Linked DNA regions of Callithrix jacchus. The protein of the gene in region 2 interacts with the protein of the main gene of each other region in a biochemical or structural test. Links are inferred from orthologs where the notes say so. Each region holds a gene or a part of one and is shown on either strand. Other genes may lie near its edges. The genes, in order: RAB5C, RBSN and RAB5A.

Region 1 (10,376 bases), on a different chromosome or scaffold from region 2:
AGCCAAGATCACGCCACTGCACTCCAGCCTGGGCAACAGAGGGAGACTGTCTCAAAATTAGCTGGGCATGGTGGCGTGTGCCTGTTATCCCAGCTACTTAGGAGAATCACTTGAACCCAGGAGGCGGAGGTTGTGGTGAGCCGAGACTGCACCACAGCACTCCAGCCTAGGTGTCAGAGCGAGACTCCGTCTCAAAAAAAAAAAAATTAGCCAGGCACAGCGGTGTACACCTGCAGTCTCAGCTACTTGGGAGGCTGAAGTAGGAGGATCACTTGAGCCCAGGCAGTTAAGTCTGCAGCGAATTGAGACTGCACCACTACACTCCAACCTGGGCAACAGAGCAAGAATCTGTCTCAACAAGAACAGCAACCACAAGAGACTGGCCTCAAGATGAGCAGATGATATCCAAGCAGTGCAGGCACAGGATCAGGGAATTTTAAAGACCCCATCTGTGGAATACACATGAGAGGGCTGCTCATACCACTGGTCTGAACAGCTGCTGTCACCACTTTCTTATGTCACCTTCACTCAGGAACGAGCCTTGTGCAGACATGTAAAACAGCACCCACAGGCAGAGGGAAATTCACTTTCACTGAGCCTTGTTAAGTACTGGCCTGGGGTTGGTGCTCCCTCACCACACAGAGCTGCAGAAGCCTTGTGGCTCTGCCCTCAGACACACACTCTGAGTCCCAGCTATTTGGAAGGCTGAGGTGGGAGGATCACTTGGGACCAGGAGGTCAAGGCTGCAATAAGCGGTGATCATACCACTGCACTCCAGCCTCAGTGAGAGAGGCCCTGTCCCAAGAAAAAAATTATCTTAAAGTTTCCTGTTTTAGCTTCAATTCATGCAAACTGCATTCCAATCTACAGTAGCTGCAGGACTTTCTAAATAATAAAATGCTTTCCACTGAGTAACACTGAAGTGGCAGTGTTCTCGTCTATAAAATGGGAATTCAACCCACATCAATTCTGTTCAATGTCTATGAAATGAGACAATTTGTGAAACCATCAAGCAAAGTACAAGGCATCCCAGCAGACATTTTGCTTTTGTTTTAGAGATCAGGTCTCATTATGTAGCCCAGGCTGGTCTTTTCTTTTCTTCTGAGACGGAATCTTGCTCTATTGCCCAGGCTAGAGTGCAGTGGCACAATCTTGACTCACTGCAACATGTCTCTGAGGTTCAAATGACTCCCAGGTTCCTGCCTCAGTCTCCCAAGTAGTTGGAATTACAGGCATGCGCCAACACACTTAATTTTTGTATTTTTAGTAGAGACAGGGTTTTACCACGTTGGCCAGGCTGGTCTCAAACTCCTGACCTGGGGGGATCAACCCGCCTCAGCCTTCCAAAGTGCAAGGACTGGCCGGTCACAGTGGCTCATGCCTGTAATCCCAGCACTTTGGGAGGCTGAGGCAGGCAGATCATGAGGTCAGGAGATGGAGACCATCCTGGCCAACATGGTGAAACCCCATCTCTACTAAAATACAAAAAAAAAAAAATTAGCTGGGTGTGGTGGCGTGCACCTGCAGTTCCAGCTACTCAGGAGGGTGAGGCAGGGGAATTGCTTGAACCCGGGCGGGAGAGGATGCAGTGAGCTGAGATTGAGCCACTGCACTACAGCCTGGGCAACAGAGCAAGACTCCATTTAAAAAAAAAAACAAAAAACAAAAAAAAACACAGTGCTAGGATCACAGGCCTGATCCACCACAGCCCTGAATCCAGGCTGGTCTTGGACTCCTGGGATCAAGCGATCCTCTTGAAGTGCTGTGATTATGGGCATGAGACACTGCACCAGGCCCCAGCATATAATTGATACAAATGTTGAATCATAATCAGTGTCAAGGCTGGTCTCGATTACCTGGGTCAGGAGGTCTGACCAACATGGAGAAACCCCATCTCTACACAAAATACAAAAATTAGGGCCGGACACAGTGGCTCACACCTGTAATCCCAGCACTTTGGGAGGCCAAGGTGGACGGATCACCTGAAGTCCAGAGTTAGGAGACAATCCTGGCCAACATGGTGAAACCCCATCTCTACTAAAAATATAAAAATTAGCTGGGCGTGGTGGTATGCCCCTGTAGTCCCAGCTACTTGGGAAGCTGAGGCAGGAAAATCTCTTGAACCCAGGGGGCGGAGGATGCAGTGAGCCGAGATCCCACACTGCACTCTAGCCTGGTGACAGAGCTAGACTCCAACTCAAAAAAAAAAAAAAACCCATTAGCTAGGCATGGTGGCGAATGCCTGTAATCCCAGCTATTCAAGAGGCTGAGGCAGGAGAATTGCTTGAACCCAGGAGGTGGAGGTTGTAGTGGGCCGAGATCATACCATTGCACACCAGCCTGGGCGACAGAATGAGACTCTGTCTCAAAAATAAAATAAAATAAAATAAAATAAAGAAAGAATCTTGGCGTTGAATTATGATTTTATGATTTACCTTCAAACCCCTACCTACCCATCAGAGGCAAAAGCTATTTTCTAGTCTCTGCCAGCACTGGACTAGCTTCTTTCTTTGTTTCTAATTCTGCAAGGTATCTAGCATCCCCATTTTACCCACTGTTAAAAGATAAGGTCACATCTGACCTTAACAGGCCCACTGTTAAAAGATAAGGTCACATCTGACCCCAAATCCCAGCCCCAGCTCTACCACTTTCTAAATGCATGACCTTAGGCAAGCTACTTAAGTTCCTTTAGCATGTTCTCTAAAGCAGGAAGAAACATAGGCTCATTGAGGTCAAGTAACAAGCCCAAGGTCACACAACTGATAAGTGGGGGAGTCGGGATGAGAACTCAGGTCCAACTGCCTCCAAAGTTCTAGTGCCTTACACCCTACCACACTGCCTGTTTCCTGGGGAAGGGCAGGAAGTAAAAAAAAGTACTTGCCTGGTGGGCTGAATTTAAACGTATGCTCTTGGCTGGGCATAGTGGCTCATGTCTGTAATCCCAGCACTTTGGAAGGCCGAGGAGGGTAGATCACAAGGTCAGGAGTTTTGAGACCAACCTGGCCAACATGGAGAAAGCTCATCTCTACTAAAAATACAAAAATTAGACAGGTGTGGTGGCATGCACCTGTAATCCCAGCTACTTAGGAGGCTAAGACAGGAGAATTGCTTGAACCTGGGAGGTGGAGGTTGCAGTGAGCCAATCGTGCCACTGCCCTCCAGCCTGGGCAACAACAGCAAGACTCTGTCTCAAAAAATACAAAAACAAAAAATGTATAATCTTGCTCTGTTTCCATGTAAATTCTAATGACCAGAGCTCCTGGTGGCCAGCCACATTCTTCCCACTTGCAATCAGCAGGCAGTACCAGCAGGGAAACAGAGGACTAATCAGAGGCCTCCTCTGCTGGTTCCCCCTCAACCCTGCCCAGAGGGACCCCTGAGTTCACTCACTTTAACTTTCATTTTCTAGCCATTAAGACTTTCAGGTTCCCAAAAAATTAATGGCATGCAGATGTCAGCAAACTGTCTGGCCCTGAAAAGGACTGACTTGGGACTCCTGTCTTGGTCCTCAGAGGCAGAGAAGAAAGGGGTCAAGAGAGAAGACAGGAGTTTGGGTTGAGGTGGGGGAAGAAAATGAGAAGAGAGCTGTGCCAGTGATGAGGAGGGCTAAAGGATTAACAGTCTGCCCTCGTGGTGCAGCGCACTCACCCTGCATGTTCATTCATTTAGCAAACAAACCAGGCCAAAGAAGGCCCACTATTAAAAGATAAGGTCACATCTGACCCCAAATCCCAGCCCCAGCTCTACCACTTTCTAAATGTATGACCTTAAGCAAGCTACTTAAGTTCCTTTAGCATGTTCTCTAAAGCAGAAACACATACTTGCCTTATCTTACTCCAAAAAAGAAAAAAGTAACAAAAATTAAAAACAAGTGGGGAAACAAACCCCACTATTCCCAGGGTACCTGTGAGGAATATGTATGAAAATAACTTTGTAACTTTAAAATGATTTTTAAAAATTAGTGTTATTGCCCCTCTACAGTTTAACAGCCCACTAATCATGAGAGGCAAGAGGGCAGGAGAGGAACAGCATCAGAAAGGAGGGGTTTCTGTCACACACAGAGCCATAGCTTTCTGCCAAGCAGTCAGACCTCTGCTTGGACTATAATTTCTGGATGCCAGAAGCAGCTGCATTCTCTCCCAAAGCACTGGGGCCTTCCTCGTCTGTCTAAATGGCCGAGCTTCCCCTTCAAAAGTCATTTCAGGCCGGGTGCAGTGGCTCACACCTGTCATCCCGGGACTTTGGGAGGCTGAGGCGAGTGGATCACCTGAGGTCAGGAATTCGAGACCAGCCTGGCGAATATGGCGAAACCCCATCTCTACTAAAAATACAAAAATTAGCCTGGCGTGGTGGCACGCTCCTGTAGTCCCAGCTACTTGGGAGGCTCAGGCAGGAGAAGCCCTTGAACTCAGGAGGTGGAGGTTGCAGTGAGCAGAGATCATGCCACCACGCTCCAGCCTCGGTGACAGAGCAAGACTCCATCTCAAAAGAAAAACAAACCAAAAAAAATTGTTTCAGAGTCAGAGCTGGAAGAGCATGTCCAGACAAAGGAAAAAAGGTCTCCTCAGAAGGCTGGTCAGTCTCATCCCAGGACTCCTGAAGACTGACAAACCATGGTCCACTCCTGAAGACGTAAGTCTGGTCAGAGACCAATGGCCAGTGAGCAGTCAGGCCTCTCTGACCCTGCCCCTCAGATGCCCAGGCTGCCCAGATCAGAAAAACTAGATTGGCTGAAGAAGTCTCCAATGAGCCCCCAAGGAACCCACACAGATAAAGAGCTTGTGATCCAGCTGTTGACCCTAATAAGGAAGGCTTCTGTTGTCCAATAAAAAGTGAAATAAGTAGGCTGGGTGCGGTGGCTCACACCTGTACTCCCAGCACTTTTGGAGGCCAAGGCAGGCGGATCATGAGGTCAGGAGTTCAAGACCAGTCTGGCCAACATGGTGAAACCCTGTCTCTACTAAAAATACAAAGTTAGCCGGTATGATGGCATGCGCCTGTAATCCCAGCTACTCGGGAGGCTGAGGCAGAGATTTGCTTAAACCTGGGAAGTGGAGGTTGCAGTGAGCTGAGATGGGGCCAATGCACTCCAGCAGGGGGGAAGTGGGGGCGCTGGGGGAAGGTGAAATAAGTCCTAGGTCTACTCACAAGACTGGAGAAATCAGACACTAGTGACTGTCCAGAAGTACTCAAAAACACCTCAATACCAAAAAACAGCACTTTTAAGCAGCACGAGAGGGTGGTAAAGGTAGCTCAGAAAACTGAAGAGCTACAGACATTCCCACTATCTATCCCACTTGCTATCTACATATCCACTGTAGATAGCAAGGGTCAGTCACGGCCTCAGAGACAGGCTACTCCTCATTAAGGTACAGTCTCGGGCCTGTACTTTGGCCACATAACAAAGCTTGGTCAGAGACAGCAGCTATTTCACACACCTAAGCCCCAAGCAACAGTCCATACGGTTGAGGGAACCAGCATTTTCTGGCATGTGTGGGAATTCTTCAGGCTACAATTCAGACCCCAGAACTGCCAGTGGGATCTTGACTTAGTCCTCAGTAATAAGTCCAAGCCCAGAAGGGATTAGATACCAGCGCGGTGTGGACCTGTTGCTCAGGGTGGTTTATGTGTGTGTGTCTGGAAGTGGGAAAGAGATAATTCTTCAACTCCAGACTCCTCATTTTGGGTCTTATTCTCCTGCCTATAGACACACGGACAGCAGTCCCGGGAGAAGCAGTCCCTTTGAGGAGGCTTGAAAACTACTCACGTGCTCTGGGAGGACAGAGCTGAGCCTGGAGCAAGGGGGGAGGGGAGAGAAGATAATGAATGGGCATATCCACCCTGATCTGTGATCTGTAGCTAGGATTGAGCAAACCTCAGCTAAATTCTTCAGGGGCAGAAAGAGAGAGACACTCAGAGAACAACATAACTAGAGAATAGGGCAGGGAGACAGAAGGGGCAAAGCAAGAAAACATCTCATTCCTACTAAATGACCCAGACTTTTAACTGAGGTCCTGGTTGGTTTTCTGGCTTGAGGAAAGAGGGAAGTAAGGAGTTGTGGAAGCGCAAATACACTTCTGTGCGTGTGGAACGGTCTCACCCAGACGACCCCCTCCCCCATAGGAAATCGACATATTCCTCTAGGGCTGGAGGGGACAACTGGTTTCGTGGGACAGGAGGAAGGAAAACGGCGACAGACAGCACTCCCTGTCACTTCTAAAAGACAAGAAGGACAGGTTCCTTCACACCTGGCAAAGATCCTTCGATTCTGGGAGCAAGGCGAGCGGAACTTAGGGTTCCTCTCTCCCACAACTGGAATGGACAGGCCAGAGAACAGTCATAGGAGTTTCCTTAAGGCTCACGAAAGGCAGGTAAGCTAAAGAAAGAAGCTCCCCCGCTCCTTTGGCCCGACGCCTGGGGAACCCCTTAGGAGGAGGCTACGGGTCGGGGGAGGGGTCATTATCCCCCTAAACGGGCTGGGTGGTGAGTAAGGGCTGCCCTGGAGATGCTTCAACGCAGGCGAGACACCAGGTTCGGGGACAGGCATACTCACGGCGGCTCCGGGACGGCAGCGTTACTTGGGGCCGGGACTCGGACAGGCTTCGCTTCTCTCCCCCCCCCCCGGCGGTGTCCCAGGCTCCGGCCTCCACTTCCGCCTTTCAGCCGCTCCGGATCCGGATCTCCACCTCCGTCCCGCCCCTCAATACTACCCAGGTGATTGACAGGGTAGAGGGACTAATGGAAGGCACTCTTGGCCGACCTATCCAGCGGCTCCGGTAGAAACGCGGGAGTGGTTGGAGGGCGCGCGCGAAGGATGGCGGGACTTGTAGTTCGCAGCGCTGGGAGGAGTTGGCGGCTGCCTGGGATTTGGGCTTAGGGTGGAGCCGGCTGACTGCGAGGCGGAGCCCGGCCGGGAATTATTATTTTTTTGTGAGGAGTCTCAGTCTGTCTCCCAGGCTGGAATGCAGTGGCGCGATCTCGGCTCACTGCAACCTCCGCCTCCCGGGTTCAAGCGATTCTCCTGCCTCAGCCTCCCGAGTAGCTGGGATTAAAGTCATGCACCACCACGCTCGGCTAATTTTGTATGTTTTGTAGAGACGGGGTTTCACCATCTTGGCCAGACTGGTCTTGAACTCCCAACCTCGGGTGATCCGCCTTCTTCGGCCTCCCAAAGTGCTGAGATTACAGGCCAGAGCCACCGTGCCCGGCCTACGGCCGGGAACTTTTTAAGGCCAAGCCTGCCACCCGCGTCACCGCCGGTTCCGGACGCCCGAGGGAAGGCGAGTGGCGGAGAGTTGGAAGAAGGCAGAGGACTGTGTGTGCAGAATTGGAAAAGGAAAAACATGGTGCGAATGAATATGCACGCGAGGCTGCGTGGACCAGTCCTGTGAACTCGCTGATCTGGAGCAGCCCCTGTCTGCGCTTTCCGGCCAAGTCAGCTTGGGAAGCCCGATTGCTGGGGGCCTCTGTGATGGGGAAGGCGATGAAAGCGATGAAAGGCTGTAGGAAAGGTTCTCTGCAGGATGCTGAGTGAGATCAAAGGGAGAGCTTCTGCCACCACCCCCTACTTGGTGTGTCGGGGGGGGGGCCGGCGCAAAGACCATCTCCGCCTCTGCCTTCCCCTGCTCCCAGCCAGGGTCAGCTCTTCTCTCTGACGCGGAATGTAGAGCTGGATAACCTCTGGCTCGGACCTCTCCATCTGAAAATAAAGACTAGAACCACCCCCACTCTGCCCCTCCCCATATGGATCAGGACTATTTGTTTCTTCTGCTCCTCTGAATATGGATCCGGCCAGCTCCTGATTCCGCCCACCCTTACCTCTCAACACAGACTAGTACCTCCTCTTCCTTTGCATGTTACCCTCCAGGGACACTACTGAAAACCTGTGTAGAATCAAAGCTCACTGGAGACAGCTGTGACCATTGTGCCTCTAGTACTGGCCAACACCGGGCATATCCTGGAGCCTCAGCTGGAGAATCGACCTCTCTGGGACAACCTGCCACAAAACTGTGCCCACATCTAGTTCCATCTGGTCAGCAGGGTGTCTCTTTCTTACATCCATAACACACAATCCCCACTCCAGTGCAGGTGATCATGAGAGAAGTGAAAGGGAAGAGGGAAGAGGGCTTGTTGGCTTGTTGGAAGGACAGAGTGGATGGGGCGGAGTGGGATTCCTAGCAGGCTTTGGCTGCTGACAGGCTAGCTCTTCCCCCCAGCCCCGCTTCCATACCCAGCTCTGCAACAGTTCCTTACACAGGAGGGATGGGTAGTCCCCTGGGCCCACCCTTCCAAGGCTGGGGGTGGGCCTGAGCCAGGATTCTGTTCTTCCCACATACTGTGTGTTTATGTGGCTATGACTGAGGTGCAGGGGAGAAGGGAATATAACAGGCCCATAGTGATTAATTAAGATTTCTCCCTCATTTCTGGGGCCCCTGGTGGTGTGAATGTGGTGCCAAATAGATTGGCTGGTGCCTCCATCCTTCCTAGAGATAGCAACGGGGCCCTGGGGTACAGCGGGGGGTGAGGGGGGTAGGGGTGGGGAGTGATTGCTATGTTGCTCCTCCAAAGCCTTGGGACTCTCAGACTAACCCCCAGATATACCCAGAGCCAATAACTACAAAAATAAAGACTTTATTTTCTATCCAAAAGTGAGCCCAAGATGTTGGGTGGTAGAGAAGAGCTGGAGACCTGGGTGAGTTTTGGAGCCATCCAGGCCTTGCATGAAACCATGTTGTCATGGGGGAGAACAGGCTTGGCAGAGGTCTGGGGGTCGGGGAGGGATAGGGCGTGCTGTAGGGATTTTTGAGTTGCTAGTAGCAGAAGAGACCAGCCTGAGAGACAGCCTGCAGAGAGACAGAAACAGAGATGTTGCCAGACTCATGCCTAGGAGTAGAAGCAGACACTACTGGGCCCCAAAAGCACCTGTTAGGCACAGGGACCTGGGAACAGGCTCTTATGTAAGGAGGCGGGGGTTGCACCTCCACCCGTGGGCTCCACCTGGATATTCCAAATTGGGTGAGGCCCAGGAATCTACTTTTTATTTAGTTATTTATTTTTGGGCCACCATCCTGGCAGAATCTACATTTTAATGGGATCTCAGGTAGTTCTGATGGACACTCAAGTTTTGGGAACTCAAATACCTACAGAGAGCAGACAAAAGTTTCAAACGAGGGAATCTAGCCGGGTGTCGGGAGATGATCATGAAACCCTTGACCGCAAGTGGTGACTGCGAAGTAGGGCGCAGAGCAGATTCCATTAAGGAGGACAGTGGCCACCTCTTCGCCCCTGCTGATTTCAATTATTGCCAGATGGAATGTTGGCCCATGGTAGCCAGATGTCCTGGGTTTTTTGTTTTTGAGACAGAGTATCACTATCACCCAGGCTGGAATGCAGTGGTGTGATCAATGCTCGCTGCAGCCTCAACCTCCTGGGCTCAAGTGATCCTCCCACCTCAGCCTCCGGAGTAGCTGGGACCACAGACACACACCACTACACCTGGCTAATTTTTTATTTTTATAGAGTTGGGGCATGGCGGAGGTCGGGGGGGTCTTGCTATGTTGCCCAGGCTGGGTTCAAGTCATTCTCCCACTTCAGCTTCTGAAGTAGCTGGAACCACAGGCATGCACCACTACACCTGGCTAATTTTTAAAAAAAAATTTTTTTTCTCTCTCTTTTTTTTTCTTTTTTTTTTTTTTTGAGATGGAGTTTCACTATTGTTACCCAGACTAGAGTGCAATGGCACAATCTTGGCTCGCCGCAACATCCGCCTCCTGGGTTCAAGCAATTCTCCTGCCTCAGCCTCCCAAGTAGCTGGGACTACAGGCACGCACCACCACGCCCAGCTAATTTTTGTATCTTTAGTAGAGACGGGGCTTCACCATGTTGACCAGGATGGTCTCGATCTCTTGACCTTGTGATCCACCCACCTTGGCCTCCCAAAATGCTGGGATTATAGGTGTGAGCCACCGCACCCGGCCCTCTCTCTTTTTTTTAAAATAAAGATGGGGTTTCACCATCTTGGCCAGGGTGGTCTTGAACTCCTGACCTTGTGATCCACCCGCTTCAGCCTCCCAAAGTGCTGGGAGTGAGCCACCACGTCTGGCAAAAAAGTTTTTTTGTTTTTTTTTTAGATGAAGTTTTGCTCCTGTTGCCCAGGCTGGAGTGCAATGGCACAATCTCGATTCACCACAACCTCCACCTCCCGAGTTCAAGCGATTCTCCTGCCTCATCCTCCCAAGTAGCTTGGATTACAGGCATGTGCCACCATGCCCAGCTAATTTTGTATTTTCAGTAGAGATGGGGTTTCTCCATGTTGGTCAGGCTGGTCTCGAACTCCTGACCTCAGGTGATCAGCCTGCCTTGGCCTCCCAAAGTGC
Region 2 (10,566 bases):
AAAGAGTAACTGTAGGAATCTGAGAACAGTCTCTAACCTCTATATGTATCACCAGTTTTAGTAATGGCATTGTAAATGACTTAGTTCAGCTGACACCAAGACTGGAAGCTAGTTGAAAACCATGAAGGCTCTTTGGTTGTCCAAAGGAAACTTAGATAATCAGGTTTTTTAGTTTTGTTTTTGCTTCATTTCCCCCAGGAAGCTGCGATGCATGCTGTGATTGGAACATGGGCCTCTCATCCTCAGTGATGTCACGTGTAAAGGGCAGCCCTGGACTTAGAGATAACAGAAGACCTACATTCCAGGCCTAGTTCTGCCAATTCCTATGTGACCGTGGATAAGTAACTCAATGTCTCTTGAGCCTCACTTCACTTGCTATCTATAAAATGAGACCAATCACTTTCTTTTTGTTTGTTTTTGTTTTGAGATAGAGTCTCGCTCTGTCGCCAGGCTGGAGTGCAATGGCGTGATCGCGGGTCACTTGCAACCTCTGCTTCCCGGGTTCAAGCGATTCTCCTGCCTCAGCCTCCTGAGTAGCTGGGACTACAGACACGTGCCATCATGCCCAGCTAATTTTTATATTCTTAGTAGAGATGGGGTTTCACCATGTTGGCCAGGATGTTCTTGAACTCTTCACCTCATGATCGGCCTGCCTCAGCCTCCCAAAGTGCTGGAATTACAGGTGTGAGCCACCACGCCCGGCCGAGACCAACACTTTCTTGCAAAGTTAGGAAAGTCAGATGAAATAATAATGTCTGTGAAAGAAACTCTTAAAAACTATAAAGCACAGCATTTTTTTCCCCTCCTAATAGTTTTGGCTCTGCTCTACAACCTCTACAGCCAGAAGCCACCTCATCCATCATAGCTCTCAGAATTTCAGAAATGTTTGCCTTTGTTAGCGGTTTTTTAGTTTTGTTTATGTTTTCAGAAACTTTTTTTTACTGAACAGAAAAGTGAGATAGAGTGGGACTCTAGGCACAAATATCTGATTACAAAGTGTATATGATTCGCTTGTCTGAAGACCAAAGTCCACTTAGGAATACATGATCATTCCTTTCTTTCCCTCTCAATAAAGTCTGTGAATAGAGCATCCAGAACTTTTTTTTTTCCCCAAGACGCACTTTCATTCTTGTTGCCCAAGCTGGAGTAAAATGGAGCGATCTTGGCTCACTGCAACCTCTGCCTCCTGGGTTCAAGCGATTCTCCTGCCTCAGCCTCCCAAATAGCTGGGATTACAGGTGTGTACCATCAGGCCCAGCTAATTTTTTGTATTTGTAGTAGAAACCGGATTTCACCATGTTAGCCAAGCTTGTCTTGAACTCCTGACCTCAGGTGATCTGCCCTGAGGGACATAATAAACAGAAAGACTCTGGGATCACAGGCGTGAGCCACTGCACCTGGTCCGGAACTGTTTAATTTCATGGCCTTCAGAAATGCTGCCAGCTGTGAGAAGCAAATTAGCTGAATAACCACGAAAGTAAGTTCCAGAGGAGCAACAGCTTTGTTGTGTGTGTCTGAGACAGGATCTCTCTCTATCCCTCTCTCTGTTGCCCAGGCAAAAGTGCAGTGACACAATCACCACTCACTACAGCCTTGACCTCCTTGGGCTCAAGCAATCCTCCTACCTCAGTCTCCTGAGTAACTGGGACTACAGGCACACACCTCCATGCCCAGCTAGTTTTTTAAAAATTCTTTTGAGAATGGGTTTTGTCATGTTGCCCAGGCTGGTCTTGAACTCCTGAGCTCAAGTGATCCGCCCACCTTGGCCTCCCAAAGTGCTGGGAATAGAGGCGTGAGCCACTGTGCCCAGCAAGAGGAGCAGCATCTTATTTGGAGGTTAGAATTTCAAGTCCAGGAAATACAATAAATGTATGTATAGTCAAAAGTACCTTTGAAGAATTCTTTCCACAACTCGCTCAGATCTGAGCTCTTGGAAGCTCAAAAACCAAAGTTTTCAGATTGTTTCTCTTTGTTCTTCAACTATGACCTTCCTTTTTCTGGGGTATAGAGGGCAAGATACCAATTGGGGAAGAAAGGATGGTGGGAAGGCCTAAATCTGTGACAGGTAAAATGGGTGTATAATGTGCCTCCACCATCATAGCAAAGGAAAGAAATTCCTCTTCAAACCCTGTTAGGCTGGTGGTCAGAGAACTGTCAAGCCAGATCACAGTGATTACATTTACTAGATTCAAAGACAGACTGTGTTTCACTGAGTGGCTTTAGACATGTTATCTAATCTCTCTGTGTGCCCTCATCAGCAAAATGTGGCTCACAGCCACAAAGTTATTGTGAGGACTAAATGAAATTAATAAACAGGGAGATTCTGAAAATGCCTGGCACATGACAAACACCAGTCATCTGTTTGCTACTACTATTATCATATTCCTGTGGCAACGCCGAAGCTGATAAGAACTATCCCATGAGTTAAAGCTCTCACTGACAGCAGGGGATAGGCAAGCTCCTCGCTTCTTACTTTTAATTTGCCCTTTGACATCACGGTCTTCCCCTGAGTGCTCTTCCTCGTAATGTGAATGAAGCTGATAGAAAGACTGCAGATCCTTCAGGCACAGAGGGCAGAGAAAGCCCTCCCTCACTTCCCCTGGGTCATCCAGAGAAGCCATGGCAGTACCCCTCTCAACCCTAAGAAAGCAGGGATCTCATGCCAAGAATCAGCTTGATTCCTTCCAAGGAACCATGGTTCCTGCAGCATTAGCTTAATCAAGTAGTATACGGATGGTGAGGAAGTAGCTTCATGGTCCTGGATGAGGTTCCCTCTCTGGAATAGGAGGAGCCCTAAGAAAGGAAAGAAGAAGGAAAAAAGCCAATTCAGGCAAACTGGTAGCAACTGAGAATTTTCTTCATTCTTTTCACAGTACAACAGTGCAAGTTTGTTTGTTCAGTGCAAGTTTGAGAAAACAAACTCTCAAATCCTTAGCCCAACCAAGCTGCAAAACCTAAGATGTAAAAACATCACTGGACAACAACAACTCAGTAAAGTTAGGAAGCACAGATTCTTGAAAAAAAGCAAATACCTTGACAATTCTCTTACATTCATTCCAAATGATTCAACTTCAAAATTTGTATGCCACTTTAGCCACTGGGGGAGTGTCTGAAGTACTTAGAAGTTTTTACTTGACGCTCTTTACCTTGATTGTTTACTTGACCACATATGGTAAGTTCTTAACACCTGTAAGGCACCTGTGTTAGAAATGCAAAGATGAAAAAGATATAGTATCTGCCATAAAAAAATACAAAAAAACAAAAATCCTAACACCAGTTAAAGAGAAAAATTAGAAATCTACTAGTCAAAAAGAAAAAATATATTTTATATTTATAGAGCACTTATCTCCAATGGGCTTACTAGATTTTTTTTTAAGAGACAGCATCTTGCTCTGTCATCTGGTGAGCTATAACTGCTCACTACAGCTTCAACTTTCTGGGTTCAAGTGGTCCTCCTGCCTCAGCCTCCCAAGTAGCTGGGACTACAGGAGTATGCCACCACACCCAGCTAATTTTTAAACTTTTTATAGAGACAGGGTCTTGCTGTTTCCCAGGTGGATCTCTAACTCCTGGCCTCAAGCGATCCTCCTGCCTGAGCCTCCCAAACTGCTGAGATTACAGATGTGAGCCACTGCACCAATAGATCTTAAAAGCCAGTAAGTGACAACTGAGTAGCAAACCTAATGTTTCTCCACTACTTCAAAAATAAAAGGCTGGCCAGGCACAGGGGCTCACACCTGTAATCCCAGCACTTTGGGAGGCCGAGGCAGGCAGATCAACTGAGGTCAGGAGCTCAAGATCAGCCTGGCCAATATGACGAAAACCCATCTCTACTAAAAATACAAAAATTAGCCAGGTATGGTGGCAGGTGTCTGTAATCCCAGCTTGCTGGGAGGCTGAGGCAGGAGAATCACTTGAACCCAGGAGGCAGAGTTGCTGTGGGCTGAGATCACGCCATTACACTCTAGCCTGGGCAACAAGAACGAAATTCCGTCTCTAAATAAATAAATAATAAATAAATAAAAGGCTTTGGTGCCTAAACATTTCAGGGCTTAATAAGCTGCATTCTCTTTCTTACTGACCCATGGTAAAGTCACTTCCAGTGTCACCTCATAAAGACTCCCAGTCACAGGAGAAATCTAGACAAAACCATTTCACAAAAGTGGAGAAATTTCTCCCCAAGAACCTGGGGCTACAAGCCACAGTATATAGTGAGAGGGGATGTGTTACCCTTAGCTTTGGATGGACTGTAGAAGACCACCGAGGAGGGACTGCCTGGTCCTCAAAGCTGAAGGGTGGCAGCAACTCAGAAAATAAACAAATGAAACACCAGGTCCCTATTTTTTCCCTCTAGTTAAGAAACCCAGTGACTACATACATGCAGATCCCTGCCTTTTTTCCAAAGAAATATAGCAGCTCTAGGTCTGGCCTGTTCCCTCCCCAGCCAGTGGTTCATCTGATGCTGACTCTGACAGCTCGCTTCCTACCCATACACTCACCTCTAACAACCACAAATCAAACACAAAGCCCACCACAACCATGCTACACAATCACCCTTCACGCCTCAGCCCAAAACCAAACTTCACTTCCTCAAAGAAATGCCTCTTATTCAAGGCATCAGAATGGACTTCTCCTTCACAGCACTCATCTCAATTTATAACTGTAGGTACATATGTGAAGTAACTAAGTAAGACTGTAAAATCTGTGAGGGCGGGCACAGACTCTATATGTTTTCCCCTTTGCTGTCTCCCCAGAGTTTAGCGCAGTACCTGGCACACATAATGAAGAAACGCAATAAAGCTCCATGAATGAAATGAACAAATGAATGAACTCTAAACTCATCTAAGCATACGCCATAAAGAAATCTAATATAGGCCGGTCGCGGTGGCTCACGCCTGTAATCCCAGCACCATGAGAGGCCGAGGCGGGTGGATCATGAGGTCAAAAGATCGAGACCATCCTGGTCAACATGGTGAAACCCCGTCTCTACTAAAAATACAAAAAATTAGCTGGGCACGGTTACGCGTGCCTGTAATCCCAGCTACTCAGGAGGCTGAGGCAGGAGAATTGCCTGAACCCAGGAGGCGGAGGTTGCGGTGAGCCGAGATCGCGCCATTGCACTCCAGCCTGGGTAACAAGAGCGAAACTCCGTCTCAGAAAAAAAAAAAATTAATATAAACCGCTGAATCGGACTCCACAACCATAACTGAACACATATGCAAGCCCCTCGACTCTAAATCATGTAAAAAGTAAAAAAACACACACGCAATACTTACATGTTCTGCAACTACATCCACCATGAATTTCGCCCACAACGAGGACACATCCCACAGCCGCACTCAACCCGTGTTCACGACTGCACATGATCACAACCCACACAACTAACACGATTTTTTTTTTTTTTTTTTTTTGAGATGTTGTTTCGCTCTTGCTGCTCAGGCTGGAGTGCAATGTCGAGATCTCGACTCACCGCACCACAACCTCCGCCTCTCGGGTTCAAGTGATTCTCCTGCCTCAGCCTCCCGAGTAGCTGGGATTACAGGTGCTCACCACCACGCCCGGCTAATTTTGCATTTTTAGTAGAGATGGGGTTTCTCCATGTTGGCCAGGCTGGTCTCGAACTCCCGACCTCAGATGATGGGCCCACCTCAGCCTCCCAAAGTGCTGGGATTACAGGCGTGAGCCACTGCGCCCAGCCACTAGCACGAATATACATACGTCGCATGACCATACACAAGACGAACGACTCAACCCCGTGGAGCAGAGATGACAACGTCACACATCGCACAGACATCACACAAAACGCTCCAAACATCTCCATACGAATTCAGAATACAAACGCTTCAGCTTTACACAACCAGAGAACCAAACACAGCCACTCGGAAGACAAACACCCACTCACTTCCCCCACAGCTGCAGAACCAAACCCAAGTGTATACGCCCCACGTAACCGCACAACCACACAGAGCCCAATCACCTCAGTCACACACAAGCGAAACGCACGGCCTGAAACCGGCATCTCCCACCACTCACGTCACACCCACCACAACCACACACGGCCCACACCCACAAAGGACCCCCCGTCTCCGTTCTGTAGAGAAGCCGTGTCCCCATCCCTCAGACTGGGCCTGACCCTCTGTACCCGGCCGGCCTCCTGCAGGCACGCAGGCCTGTCCAGTCCTTTGGGCCCGGGTTCTGGGCCTCCACGGCTCCTCACACAGCTGCAGACGCCATCTCCATCGGTAGCTCGGCACTCGGCAGGCGCGCCTGCGGCGGCGAATCAACCGTAAGGCGCGCTGATAGACAGACGCCTGTCGAGCGCCGAGTCTTCGAGGGCGCGAAAAGGACGGATACAGATTCGACTAGCGAAGGGCAGGCCGGCGGCTTCTGCGCAGGCGCTTTCCGAACGAGGGCGGGGACGGGGGTGGAGAGGAGGTGGGGATCGGTAATTTTGTGCGGTTCTTATGTCTCAGATTCGAACAAGGAGGGCATCAAAGCCAGCCACTGGCTCTGCACTCCATTGTACAGCTGGGAGAGCTGAGGCCAACAGATCTTTGGCTCTTGACCAGTGTGCTCAAAGAATAAGGCAGCCAAGGAGTCGAAGTTCCTGAAGGCTAGAGACAGAAAAAATATTCAGGGGACGTGGAGCGACGCAAACTCCAGGAATAGAAACACATGAGTGAGAGTGGAGACTTGGTATAAGAAGGTGTATCTCGGGGGTGTACAGCATGGCCAATCCTGTGGAAAAGATGGCATTTTCAAAAGGCAGGACGACTGATCAGCCAGGACCTACTCTGCGCCTACACTGTGCTGGGTACCATAGGGTATAGAGAGGCAGAACCTCATCCGAGTCCCGGAGACCTATTTGCTTTGTGCTCTGCAAACGTTCTGGACCTTAGCAATGGCCAGGCTCCAGAAGCAAGAGCTGCAGAGAACGATGGGACGATCCTGGGCCTCCGTTTACATCCCTGCAGTGTTACTGACCCCCTTTTACAGGAGTAAAATTGGGATGATAATGATAGTCTCTGCCTCATAGGGCTGTGAAGATTAAGTGAGATAATTGGATGGTAGGGAGGTGTCCTGCAAACTGGTTTTGCCCATCTCACTTTCCCTGCCTTCAAAGAGTACTCCCCACCTGGTCTCTGGACAGGAGCACTGTGCCTCCATCACCTTGCATTTAAGGGCATGGGGCTCCAGACTTGGAGAACACTGAGTTTTTGGAAAGCAATCACCAGTGAAAGGGCAGTGAACTAGGGATCTAGAGACCTAGGTTCTAGCCGTGGCTGTACCTTACTTTGTGGCTTTCAGCAGGTCGTTTCCCCTCTCTTGGCCTGGGTTCACCCATTTGTACAGAAGAAACTGATGCCAGTGACTTAAAAGCCTTTTCTCTCAATCTGATGGCCAAATTTTTTTTAACGTTACAATGTCAGCAGGAGTGAATAATGACTTCCCTTTGTTTGCTGATACAGACAAGGAAGAGGCTTCCCAACCTGTCAGAAGCAAACCAATAGGCCCAGCTTCCCGTCTCCGTCGCTAGCCTCTGCCTTAAGTCCCAAAAGCCAGGACTTGGGGAGTAAAACCAACCTCTTGAATGACTGAGGCCACGGAGGTCCCAATCAAGCACTTTGGGTGGCTGAGGCAGGCAGATCATTTGAGGCCAGGAGTTTGAGAACAGCCTAGCCAACATGGTGAAACCTCTTTTCTACCAAAAACATAAAAAATTAGCCTGGTGTAGTGTTGCATGCCTGTACTCCAAGCCACGCAGGAGGTTGAGGTAAGAGAATCGCTTGAACCCAGGAGGTGGAGGTTGCAGTGAGCCAAGATGGTGCCACTGCACGCCAGCTTGAGGGACAAAGCAAGTCTGCCTCAAAAAAGAAAAGAAAAGAAAAAAACATCATATTCATCATTTCATTTGCTCAAAAAAGCAATGGCAATGTGGCCTCACTTTGTAAGTTAATTTTGGAGATCACAATGGATTGAACACTGCTCTCAATATTGTTAATGATAATGACAAAGACCTCCCTATATGCTTCACACTTCATCAAAAGTACTTTCTTTAATCTTTTAGGCAACTCTATTACTATTTCCATTTTGATAATAATAATTAATATTTACTGAGTGATTTGCACATGCCAAACACTGTTCTATGTGCTTTACATATCTTAACTCATTTAATTATCATGCAACCCAATGATGTACAAAATGTAATATTATTCCCAATTTATAGAAGGGAAACTGAGGCACAGAGAGGTTAGGTGACTTCTCCAAGGTCACCAGCTGGTAAGCCTTGAACCCAGAGTAATCTTGCCTTGAGGCTTTCGCAATCCCCACTTTTCCTTCCTCTGTGAAGTGCTGATAGACTTCCTGCAACTCTCAGCCTCCTCCAGGCACCACTCCTGTACTGGGCATAGAGAGGTGTAAGCCAGTTAGTTGAAGACAGGGAAGTGTGTACGTGCACACGGATGCTCTGGTGTCAGAGGAGAGACCAGCAGAGTCCCATGCAGGAATGCAGGAAAGGGTTCCCAGAAGCGGGCAGCACGTGAGCGTGGACCTCAGGTAGAAACGATGGGGAAGACCTTCCAGGCCAGGGGAACCGCACATGCAAACGCATAGTTATGGAGAAAAGCAGGAGTCCTTTGAGAAACTCAGAAAAAAGTTCATTCACACATAGAGGGATAATATCAGGCCACTCCTCCTCGATGCCAAAACTGTAGGCGGCTACTACTTTTTTTTTTGAGACCGAGTTTCGCTCTTGTTACCCAGGCTGGAGTGCAATGGCGCGATCTCCGCTCACCGCAACCTCCGCCTCCTGGGTTCAGGTAATTCTCCTGCCTCAGCCTCCTGAGTAGCTGGGATTACAGGCACGGGCCACCACGCCCAGCTAATTTTTTGTATCTTTAGTAGAGACGGGGTTTCACCAGGTTGACCAGGATGGTCTCGATCTCTTTACCTCGTGATCCACCCGCCTCGGCCTCCCAAAGTCCTGGGATTACAGGCTTGAGCCACCACGCCCAGCCATAGGCGGCTGCTTCTATTGAGAGAACCTCAGATGGCTGGGTCTCTTCACCCTTGCCCTCTACCTTAGGGTTCTCTGTCTCTTTCTATCCTTTTGTCCTTCTCTCTATCTCACTCTTTCACTTTCTCTTGGCCCCTTATTTGTCTTAAGTTTATCTCAAGCAGCACAAGACATGTTGGCATCACATTAAAATCAAGAAAATAAATTATGATATTGGTAACATAGCCATCACTGGGGAAGATATAGGCACATCATATAACTTCCTGAAGGGCCAGCTGCCCTCCAGGCTGGCCTGGCCCCAGCTCCCAGGCCTCTGCCAGCTACTGTGGTCTGAGCCAGCAGGTTGAGGGAGTTGGCACACCCATCTGCTGGCACAGGGAAACAAGGGTGATGCCAGCCTGGCAGAGCCTTGCCTTGAGGAACGGGGCAAGGGCATGGTGGGCTGGGAGAAGCAGGTGGCAGTTGCCGTGGTCCTCTCAGGAAAAAAACAGGGAATGAGGAAAGAAGAAAGGGAAGAGAAAATGAGGGGAGGAAGGAAGAGGAAGAGGGAGGGAAAGAATGACAATAAAAAAGCAAAGATGGAGCAAAGCATCGTGGTTACCAGCACAGACTCCAGGCCTTGAATCCCAGCCCTGCCACCTGTGGCCACGTGAACCCTGGGCGAGTCACTTAAATTATCTGAGCGTCAGTGTCCTCATCTGTAAAATGAAATAATTATAGTACCTGCCTCTTAGGTTGGAGGGTTGAATAGGTTAATATTTGGAAAGTGTTAGAACAGCACCTGGCACAGGAGAAGGACTATGTAAATGTTTGTTAAATAAAAAAAAAGGAAGAGCAGTGTGATTCAGATGCCTTGGCTGTTGTGTCGTGCTGAGTCAGACAATAGCATAGGAAGTGTGAGATCCAATCTGGTGTCATAGAAATAGCTTTGAGAGTCATGGCCTTGCCAGATGGGATGTCTATGAAAAGAACTCAGATTCATTAAATCCAATAGTAGGTGGGGGAACAGCCTCAACAAACCTGAAAAGTAGGAAACATGGAATTGACTTGGGGGATGTGAGCTGGAAAGCCAACCAATTTTCAGGTAGTGGGTTAGCACCTTCTTTGACAAAGCAGGACCACTCCCAGCCCATCCAGGCCTGTGATAAATGGGAAAGAGGCACCACTCCCTTCTCACTAATGGACAAAACCCTTTGCTGGAACTGAAGCCCTGCATTTGGCAAGTGGGGCACAGAATGGATTTCAGCATCCACTTACTCCACCCCCACCCCACTCCCAACTGCGCTGCACACAAACTGCATGGTGGCTCTAAGGGCAGGGAAGAGGAAAATCAAGGTCACAGCATGGTCCTCAGATCATGAGAAAAAGTCACACTGGTTGTCTGCAGCTTCAGATCTCATTCCCTGACATACATCTCCGGAGATATGCACCTTCAACCAGTTGAGAAGTTAACCTCAATTTTAACCCAGATTTGAAATGACCTGTGTGTATATCGTATTTTAAGTATTTGAGGTATTTAAGAAAGTTTGGCATGTTAGAGCATCTGACAC
Region 3 (10,335 bases), on a different chromosome or scaffold from region 2:
GTGTCCAAGACCAGCTTGGCTAACATGGCAAAATCCTGTTTTCACCAAAAATACAAAAGTTAGCTGGGAGTTGTGGTGTGTACCTGTAATCCTATCTACTCTAGGGAGGCTGAGGTTGCAGTGGGTCACGATCACACCATTGCACTCCAGACTGGGCCACAGAGTAAGACTCCTTCACAAACAAACAAACAGTTGAAATGCAAAAGAGTTGGCTGGCTTCATTTTTCAGGTAACTTCTACTACATGTCAGCCAAAACGAAACTACATATTACCTACAAGTTATGGACCTTTGGAGTTTATCATGAAATAGCTCAAAACTTAAAATTCTTAAATGCTTTAGATATACTCTAGTGCCTAAAAGTGAAGAGCTATGAACACAGAACATAAAAGAACAGTGTCCGCAGCTGTAATCATAATGGTACTGTTATACCTCCTGAATAGTATGAACATGGGATCAGCACAATGAAAAAGTGTCCAAAAAGGATTAACAGAAATTTGGGCTGGGGCAGTGGCTCATGCCTGTAATCCTAGCACTTGGAGAGCCCGAGGCAGGCAGATCTCCAAGGAGACCTAGTTCAAGATCAGCCTGGCCAACATGGTTAAACACAATCTCTACTAAAAATACAAAAATTAGCCAGGAGTGGGGGCGCACGCCTGTAGTCCCAGCTACTTGGGGGCTGAGGCACAAGAACTGCTTGAATTTGAGAAATGGAGGTTGTAGTGAGCCAAGCCTGCACCACTGCACTCCAGCCTGGGCAACAGAGACCCTGTCTCAAAAAAAAAAGGATTAATAGAAATTTGGATGCAAATTCCCCTTTGTTTTTAAATAGGAAGCTTTATACATAGAAATTAAAATCTACGAAAAATTCATTAATGAAATCTAGACACTCTAATTGGTGTTAAATGGAGATTATACATAGATACACACATACCAGAGATATTATTTATGATACACTGGATATGGGGTTGTACTTTTACTTTAAACATCCTTCTTGAGCTATCATTAAAATAAAATAAACTTAGAAGTGGACTATCCAAAACAAGATAAAATTTCCAGTCTTAAGTTCTTGCAAAGCTCTGCAGAAATTAAGTTCTATACTACAGTACTTCAGAGTTTTTATTATATTACTAAAATGTTTTTTTAGTAAATATTAGTAAAACAATATTTTAGTAAAATAATATTTAACATTTTACTAAAACTTTTAACAAAAAATAATTTTTTGTCTTACTAAAAAAAAAAAAAATCACATATGGATGTGCCTTCAGAAAAAAAAAAAAAAAAAACCACAAAGGGTATCTAATATATCACGTATTAACATTTTTTAAAATGCCAAGACTTCTGACTCGAAATAAAAGCTCCATGATGCTTTCTGATACTCAGTCATTAGAAAAAAACAAAACATTCTAATACAACATTGTAACAAGACACACAAAGGCCAGGAGGTAGTAGAGTTCTGTAAATTATCTTACTAGAATGGGTCTAAGTTTATGAATAACATTCTCAAATGTATTTGCCTAAGAGCACTCACTAAATGCACAGTATAAAATTTTGCTTCTTAAAGATTCTAAGAAGTTGCCACATGCCAGTTGGTATCTACCAGTCTCATGTACTTCAAAAGTGTGACTTTAATTTTGCAATATGGGGTTAAAATATATACATAAATACCTTGGAAAACAGCATTGTTTATATATATATATATATATATGCAAAATACTGTGAATCTCAAACTGTGTAGTTCTTCCCACACATCATCTTATTGAAAAGCATCATTTCACAGACAAAACAGAGGCACAAAAGAGGCTATCTTGTCCCAGTGTTAAATAATTACAGGTTTCTTTAATCAAAGTTAATGTATTTTTTTAAGAGATGTGGGTCTCATTATGTTGCCCAGGCTAGACTTGAACTCCTAGGCTAAAATAATCCTGGGACTACAGGCATGCAGCACCATGCCGAGCTAAAATTCAATTTTCGCACTTCACGTCTTCTCTTGACAATACTGTACTGTTTGTTGTCCCCTTTTTGCCCTGCATCTTACCTTCCCCTCATCTCTGTCCCGCCATAACCACCTTGTGCAGTGCCTACTCTTTCCCTTCTTTCATCTTTTTCTCCACGTTCCATTTTCCTGTCATGTCCCTTTCCGATAATCGCTTTTTCTCTTCCCTCAGCTTAGGAGCATTCTTACATGTACGTCTTAGCAGGGAGCACCTGTAACCAGAGTTACCTGGGAGGTTGAGGCTGGAGGCTCACTTGAGGCCAGGAGTTCAAGACCAACCTGGAAACACAGCAATACTCTGACTCTTTAAAAAAAACGAAACAAAACAAAAAACTTTCCTGGCAGGATGGCATGCACTTGTAGGCCCAACTACTTGGGAGGCTAAGGCAGGAAGATCATCTGAGCCCAGAGTTCCAGGCTGCAGTCTGCAGTGAGGTATGATCCTGACACTGCACTCCAGTCTACACAACAGCAAGATCCCATCTTTCAAATAACAAAAAAAGTACATCTAACAGTATTTAAATAATTTGACAAGTATAAATTATTCAAATAGTTCAGTTATATAGATCAGAATTTAAGGTTACCTTTTTTACTATTCATTTCAAGCCAACATAATTGAGCACAAATATGTACTGTATTAATTTGAAGAAGCTTCTAGTTATCAGCAAGAAATAGATACCAGATCAAATCTTATAACTTGAAACACTAATTCTACTCATGTTTTTAACTATATTTTAGCTACAATATAACCACATGGAATTAACCAAACAATCAAATGTAAAAAGACATCGTTTCAACAAAGATAAAGGCAAGTTTTAAAGCTTAAGGTCAGCTGAATAACTCTTTTCTTCACTCTGTGACTTATTTAGCTATTCATAATCACACAATTGGAACATCAAAATATTTTCTGTCAAGGTATGATTTGATGAAATGAAGCAGGGAAAAAAAATATCTCACCTCCAATGGTACTCTCTTGAAATTCATGAAACTGGCCTTTCACAAAACGAAGCACTAGGCTTGATTTGCCAACAGCAGACTCTCCCAGAAGTACTAGTTTGAACTGGCATATTTTATTTCCAGTATTTGGCCCGTTGGGTCTTGTTGCACCTCGATTAGCCATGTCCAAATTTGAAATAAATCCCTAATTTCAGACTCTTCAATGAAGTTCCAGAATTCAAGGCGTCAATCTTCTTCTTTCTGGAGGTAAAGAAACCTGCAAAGAAACAATTATGAAGTAAATGTACAAATCAGTAAAGCAAATTTACTATTAATCACTTTAAATTTTGCCTATAGCATATTATGATTATTTTAAGCTCTACTAGACCTTCAACATCCTTTAGAATAGGTCACTATCTTTTACAGGAAATTTAAAGGTATAGGATTTGAGCTCAAAATCACTTTTTTTTTTTTTTAAGGCTAACCTCTCAAAGCTTCAACTTTGTGCCAGGCAGTACTTTAAGTACTTAACTTCTCAACAATCCTATAAAATGAGATATTATTACAATCCTTATAAATGAGGAAGCAAGCCCAGAGATGTGAAAAAGCTTACTTGAGGTCACAGAGTTACTGTGACAGAAGTGACACAGAGCTGAGTTTCAAATCCAGGGAACCTGAGAGATGACTCAAGAGTTCAAGTTCTAGAGCCAGGCTACTTGGGTTAACATTTTTTTTGAGAAAAATTATGTTATTAATAACTGAGAAGCTTTTAGAGCAGATCCAAGAATTTATTATTACTTAAAGTCTTCTGTTAAACAATGTTTAATGGTAATTTCGACAACAAATATTTTCAGTCACCTGGGTTTGTGTGCCTAATGGCGGAAAGACTTAAAACTGTTTCCTCATCTGCTCAAGTATACCACACATAGAAATGTTAACAGTTGTTTTCTGTGTGGTGGGATTATTACTCATTTATTTACTTACACTAACTAACTTTTTTGTAGTTTTTGGATGAACAATATGCATGCCATTTTTTATAAACTTTAATTTTTTTGAGAAAGGATTTTGCTCTCTCACCCAGACTGGAGTGCACTGCAACCTCAACCTCCTGGGCTCAAGCACTCCTCTTGCCTCAACCTCCTGAGTAACTGGGACTACAGGGCACTCAAAACCATGCTGGGCTCATTTGTCAGTACAGACATTGCCCTGCTATGTTGCCCAGGATGATCTAGAACTCCCAGGCTCAAGCAATCCTCCTGCCTCAGCCTCCCAAAGTGCTGGGATTACAGGTGTGAGTCACCATGGCCAGCCTGCAGGCCATTATTTTTTTTTTTAAACAACACAGTAAAAAAAACTAGCCTGAATGGTGACTTCTATGTGTTACCATTATCTAATAATGCTAACTTTTAATCTCTAAGGAATTAGTGAATATTTGAAGAACTTTTTTCAATCAACTCACAAACCAATGTTCACAGTTTCCTTCTATCTTTAACCAAAATCCAAATATATGCTAATATATCAAACCTGATGATTCCTTCTCTAAAAACCCTGCTATATTTCATTTAGCTACCTCATACAAGAAATATGTCTTTTGCACCAGAGACAGGGGCTTACACCAGTAATCCCCACACTTTGGGGTGAGATAGGAGGATTGCTTGAGACCAGCCTGGGCAACATAGTGGGATCTTGTCTCTATATTAAAAACAAAAAATGAAAGAAATATGCCTTCCTCATAAATTGAGTTTATAAAAAACACTCTTCATAATGAACTAACATATCCATGAGATGTTCTTAAGGCAATAAAATTGCCTCCCTGCCTTAACTAAACACCAGCTTTTTAGAGTCCTTATCTTTTACCATTACATACTGAAATATTTAAAGACAGAATATCTGAGTTGCTTCCAAATAACAAGGTATAAATAAAAATGCCCCCTCCCCCACAAACACTAGATTTGGGGGTCTAATCCTGGCGACACCAATTTCCGCCTGGGCAAACTCTTTAATTTCCAAGTCTCTATTCCCATAATATCTAACTTGCATAGCTGCTGTGAGAATTAAATGAAACAACACATGTAAATAATCTCTAATACACACAGTAGGGACTGAAATTGCCTATAATGTGGTCCTTTGATAAGAAAATGATAAAATACCAATAGAACATCATATATTCTGAAAATGTACCAACACATCTTCAGATATTATACACTAAGTATCAACTGAAACATTTTCCATTTATCCTTTTAACTACTAAATAAGAAATTATTTATCAGGGACAGTATGCTCCAAATTTCTAAGGTACTTCCAAAATTTCAGGGACAGCAGACTCCCACTCTCTCACTAAAAAAAAAGAAATCAAAATCAAACAAGATTCTGATTTCACTTTGACTTTTAAGGTTCAAAGCTACTCAATTGTGGTTACTCCCCCGACCCCCAGCCCCCCATTCCCACCCAGGGATCTCAAACAAGAAATAACTTAATAGTAAACATACACTTAGCCTAACACTAAGGTTAAAAATTAAGTGCATTCATTTGTGTTCACTTCTTACTGAAACTCGTTTTGCAAAACAAGAATCTTGCAAAATATACATTTATAATCTTTTAAAAATAACTGTTATTCATTCTATAGTTAAAATCCTTCTACGGGTTGTTTGATCAAAAAATTTACTAATTTGTGCCGGGCACTGTTCCGTGTACTTTGCTTACACAAATGCTGAGTTATCACTTCCATTTTACTATAGGAATAAAGTTTATGAGCAATCCTCAGTATTCCCAGAGGTGCAACTGTTTTGTCTCATTATGTGTAAGGCAACAACTGATTGAACGCCTTGATTCCACTAAAGCGATACAAAAATTAAATATGCGAACTATGACGTTCTGAACTCAAAAGTTTGGAAGTCTCAGAAGGTAAAGCAGCTTCCAGGGAAGACATCAGAGCAACTTTCAAGGTCTCTACACAGTGAAGGAGTTCAGCGGTCCTGTTATCTTGAATCTCTTTAGAGCCGTAATACACTACCTTCCACATATATAAGAGGCGAGTCTCTAGACAGGCTGTTTTGACAAGGCCCCCACCCCCTCCACCACCGGTGTTTGGAAGTTGAGAGTAGGCGGAGCTCCCCACATTCACACCTGCAGTAGGCCCGGGTTCCTGCTAGGAGAGCACTTGAGTAGCTAATAGCCAACTCCAGCTCTCCTGGATAAGCAGCACTCGCCAGGTCCCTTGGCCTTTCCAACCTCCTCCCCCGAACCTAGCCGGCTTTGACCGAGACCCCCAGAACTGCCAGGACAGGGAACAGGCGGAACCGCGGCCTCCAGTACACTTTCCACGGCGCCATCTTGAGAAGGGAAAGGGTGACACCCGTCGCTCCCTCAGTCAGTCCCCAAATCCCGGTCTCCAGAGCCCCTTGAGGATGAGTCACCAGGGCTGGCAGAACAAGACGCTGAGTTCGGAAGTTCTCTGGCCCAGGACACTGGTGCGCGTGAGGGAAAAGGGGCGGGGGTCTCAGTGCCGGCAGGGCCGCGGACAGGCTGGGGACCGCGGATAACGTGGGGTCCATGCCCCCGCTGCGCAGGGGGAGGGGCGGTTCGGTTACCTGAGACAGCAGCAAGCGGAGCTGCGGGGCCGAAGCTTCCTGGCAGCAAGGCCCAGGCGTGGCCCGTGGGACGAGTGTGTCTATGGCGGTGGTGGTGGTGGCGGTGGTGTGTGCTCTTCGCGCCGCTCCCCTCACACTGGACTGTGCGGGGCTCCTGCTGTGGTGCCGCCCCTGTCGGGCTCCGTCTCCGCCTCTCGCCGCTCCGCCTTCCTCTTTCCTTTCTCCTCCTCCTCCGCCGCCGCCGCCGGCGCTCGAGTTCCGACTAATTCTGCCTCCTCCTCCCTCTGCCTCCTCCCCTCAGGCCAGCCGCCGGCTCCTTCACGAACCAAAACACAAACACTCAGGTCCCACCGCTGGAGCCACTTCCGCTGCCCGGTGTCGGCCCCACCGCCACGTCGCCGCACGCAACGAACTACGCCCCTTCGTCACTTCCCGTCACTGCCAGTCCGCCCTCTCCAGCCGTTTCCCCGCCCCTTCCCGAATCCCTCCCCGCCCTGGTTTGTTCGCGGGGCGGGGCGAGGCAGAATGTCACGTGACCCTGCGAGAGGCTCTGAGCCGCTCTGGCCGCCTTTCTTCCCTTCCCCCACCGCAGATGCGCGGGGCACGCCCTCTCCAGCGCCACTGTTAGCTGGGCGAGGGTCTCTGGGCTGCAGGCTGCTGGGGGCGGGGAAAATTCCTTTACTCTCCTTTGGGAGAAGACCAAAAGAACTTGTGTTTTGTTTTTTTTTCTGTGCCCAGCCCTTGTGGGAGCAGAGAGGTTCCCTCACCCCAATCTGGCACCTTTGCGAAGGGGCTTTATTAGAGGGCACTTAGACGTCTTAACTCCACAGAACCTCTTCCCTCAAAACGTCCCTGGGGTTGGGTGGGTCGATAAAGACTGGTAAATCGCACTTACCCTAAGGAGGAAGAGAGGGCCCTCTCTATCCCAAAAGTCGCCTTTAGGCGCGTAACAATAAGTCGCTTCCACTGAGAGTTTACCTGGTTTTGGTAGGGGGCGGGTAGGGTCAAATCCTAAAATAGTATCTAGCTTTTTTACTGCACTAAATGCTTTACAGGAATTATCCCGTTGAATTCTTACACTAGGAGTCTTTCATTCTGAAAATAACTTGTTAACGCCTGTTCCCTACATTCGAATTTTAATTCACCTTAGTGGTCCTCACCGCTGTAAACCTGTATCTAGCCCAGTGCCTGGCAGCCAAGTCTTCAGTCCCAGCGATGGATGTTTTACAGGTAAAGAATTTGAGGCAGAAGATGTTAATTTGTCCGAGATCACTGCTGGGTGGTGCCGAAGCTGAATTCTAATCTGCGGGTTGGCTCCAGAATGTGAGTTGCTGAACACAATTCTGGTGAAAGATAACCCAAGACCTTCGTTCCCCTACACGGGGGACCTACTGAAGATGTGCTTTTGTTGGACCCCACCCCACAATCAGTCTCTGGCGAGGCTTCTGCCCCAGCCCCTGCCAAAAAAATTGTTTTGGTAATTTGGTTGAAGAATATTCCATTGATCTTTCCCTTGGAATAAAGGCTACTTTTCAGTTTGCAGTTTACAATGTATAGCTCTGTTGTGAGGGCGAGAATATTGTCTTTGAAGCGCACCAGGTTAAGGTATCCTGTGGGTGCGCAGTCGGCATTGTGCCATGAAGATGATTTGAACTTTGAACAGCCAGTCTTTCATAGTAACTACCCAAGTGCCAGAAGAACGTAGTGTGTCATACGTAAATTGTACCTGTGGCGTTTTATCTACAAGGAGTTCCAATATGAACTGTTAGTCATGGTAATAGCTCTTGGACAATCCCAAGAGGAACCAGGAAATAGGATATGTCTCATCAGTCATGTCAGCAGCATGCGAAAACCAAACCTATTCCACTCCAAACCTGCTTCTGCTTAGAGACTGGCATTAACATCCTCCCAGTCACCCAGACTTGGAAAGGCAGAATCATCTTCAGCTCTTCCTTCTCCTCACAAACCGTTGTCCATTCCATCAACAAATTATATAATCCCCAAATTTGAGGTCTAATCCCAACACCTCGTCCACGGTAGTGTTTCTATAAATAAACTGGAATTAATGCATACTGCTGCTCTTTCTGTCCATTCTTTACACTTTAGCCAGTCACTCTACTAAAAAATGTTCAGTGGTATCTCATTACTTGCCACTCTAAAGTTCTTTTAACTCTAGTCCCAACCCATGTTTCTTTCGTTCCATTTCTATAGAATCCCTCTCACCAAACTATTTGTCCCCTAACCACACGTATCTACTCTGTGTTCCCTGAATATTGCCTATGTGTTGCCATCTTGGTATCTGATCACTTTATTCCCTACACTTAGAACACCATTATTGCCCATAACTGCTGTTTCCATCTCAGCCAGGATACCAGTTACTCTGGACAGTATCTGCAGATACTTCTACTGGATTCAATTATTTTTTTTTCTATAATTTCACAATACTTTGCCTTAGTCTCTATAATAACTGTCTTAAAATCGGCCTTATTTTAATAGTTAATGAGCACCTGAACTTTTCTCCTTAGCCTTTCATTGCATTATAAGGTTTTTAAGGGTTGGGACTATCACTTATTCATCATTTCAGCTCTTCACAGAAGACCTTTGATTGCTATAGTAGAGACCCCCAAAGTATTGGTGAACTTAATTATGTTTAGAATGGTGAACATTAGACTAAGAAGACCTCACAACTAAAACATTCGATGCTGAAATTTATAAATTGCCAAAAAAAACCCTCCCTATTTCATCGTTTCAGTATGTTGCTTCCTCACTCGTTTCTGTTTGATTTTGTCTTCACCTCCTTCATGAATATATCTCACAATATTTTACAGTTTAGTCATAATGTTTGCCTGGAAGAGTGCTGCCCCGGTGGCTGGCACTTCTAAAGATCCGGTAGTAATTTTAGAGAAATTGAAATGCCATGGTAAAGCTCTGTTGTACTGCCACTTGCAATATGTCTGTGTTTTCTTTTTCATAACCCCAGATAAATGAGGAGGACTGATAATTGTATATATTTTAGTGTCAAATGTAGAATCCTATCAGTTGATAGAATTTGTTAAGGAAGCTACAAAATGGATAAATAATCATAAAGACTTAAACATTAGTGCTTATACTGCCCTCAAATCTCTAAATACTCAATCACAAATTCCCAGTGGCAGGTGTCTCCCAACCATTCACAGCACCCCATATCCTTTTCCATCTCTTCCAGGAAATCTGTCCTCCCTTATGTAGCTGAAGAATGAATCTTTGAATAGATGATAATGAATGGTTTCATTTACTTTTAATTGGAACTATCTGGAGACAATTCAAAATTTTTTCTGGAGACAAACCAACGGTAACTCTAACATTGGCATGGTAACAAGTTAGTGAAAAAGGCTGTGAAGCTTGAGCTAGTCATGTTTGAAAAGCTTGTGCCTTTGGAGAACATCATTCAGGCTTTAGCTCAATGTCACCTACCTACAGGACTTCTAAGTCCACTAATTCTAAAGTGCTTTCTTAAACATAAAAGCAGACTGTTGTCTTCATGTCTTCTATATCTTAACAAATAACACTTAACACTATTTGATAAGATATGCGTTCCACTTGATGGTTATCTATCCCTACTAGAATATAAGCTCCATGAGATAGGGATTGGGTTATATAGTCAGTCCATCTGCTGGTGACTGGTTCTTGGATACTACCCTATTCCCCCACCATGTGGGTATCAAAATTTGCAGATACTCAAGTCTCACATAAAATGGCGTAGTATTTACATGTAGGCTATTCTGTATGCTTTACATCATCTTCAGATTACTTACAATACCTAATGCAATGTAAAT

Evidence for each region.
Region 1: the proteins of RBSN (region 2) and RAB5C form a complex in vitro, tested with the Homo sapiens proteins (2 studies listed by BioGRID and IntAct, with this or other methods). The link is inferred for Callithrix jacchus from reciprocal best matches to the Homo sapiens genes RBSN and RAB5C.
Region 3: the proteins of RBSN (region 2) and RAB5A form a complex in vitro, tested with the Homo sapiens proteins (3 studies listed by BioGRID, with this or other methods). The link is inferred for Callithrix jacchus from reciprocal best matches to the Homo sapiens genes RBSN and RAB5A.

What each region holds. Positions count from the first base shown.
Region 1 is NC_133506.1:121,570,515-121,580,890, forward strand, and holds the start of RAB5C (ras-related protein Rab-5C), read right to left. Parts: upstream 6,655-10,376; 5' UTR 6,554-6,654; intron 6,372-6,553; exon of another isoform or gene 5,912-6,371; intron 1-5,911. UniProt on the Homo sapiens protein: The small GTPases Rab are key regulators of intracellular membrane trafficking, from the formation of transport vesicles to their fusion with membranes.
Region 2 is NC_133516.1:72,080,757-72,091,322, forward strand, and holds the start of RBSN (rabenosyn-5), read right to left. Parts: upstream 6,253-10,566; 5' UTR 6,134-6,252; intron 6,080-6,133; exon of another isoform or gene 5,277-6,079; intron 3,199-5,276; 5' UTR 3,050-3,198; exon of another isoform or gene 3,033-3,049; intron 2,794-3,032; 5' UTR 2,622-2,793; coding exon 2,474-2,621; intron 1-2,473. UniProt on the Homo sapiens protein: Rab4/Rab5 effector protein acting in early endocytic membrane fusion and membrane trafficking of recycling endosomes. Required for endosome fusion either homotypically or with clathrin coated vesicles.
Region 3 is NC_133518.1:58,458,853-58,469,187, reverse strand, and holds the start of RAB5A (ras-related protein Rab-5A), read right to left. Parts: upstream 6,888-10,335; 5' UTR 6,521-6,887; intron 3,208-6,520; 5' UTR 3,115-3,207; coding exon 2,952-3,114; intron 1-2,951. UniProt on the Homo sapiens protein: The small GTPases Rab are key regulators of intracellular membrane trafficking, from the formation of transport vesicles to their fusion with membranes.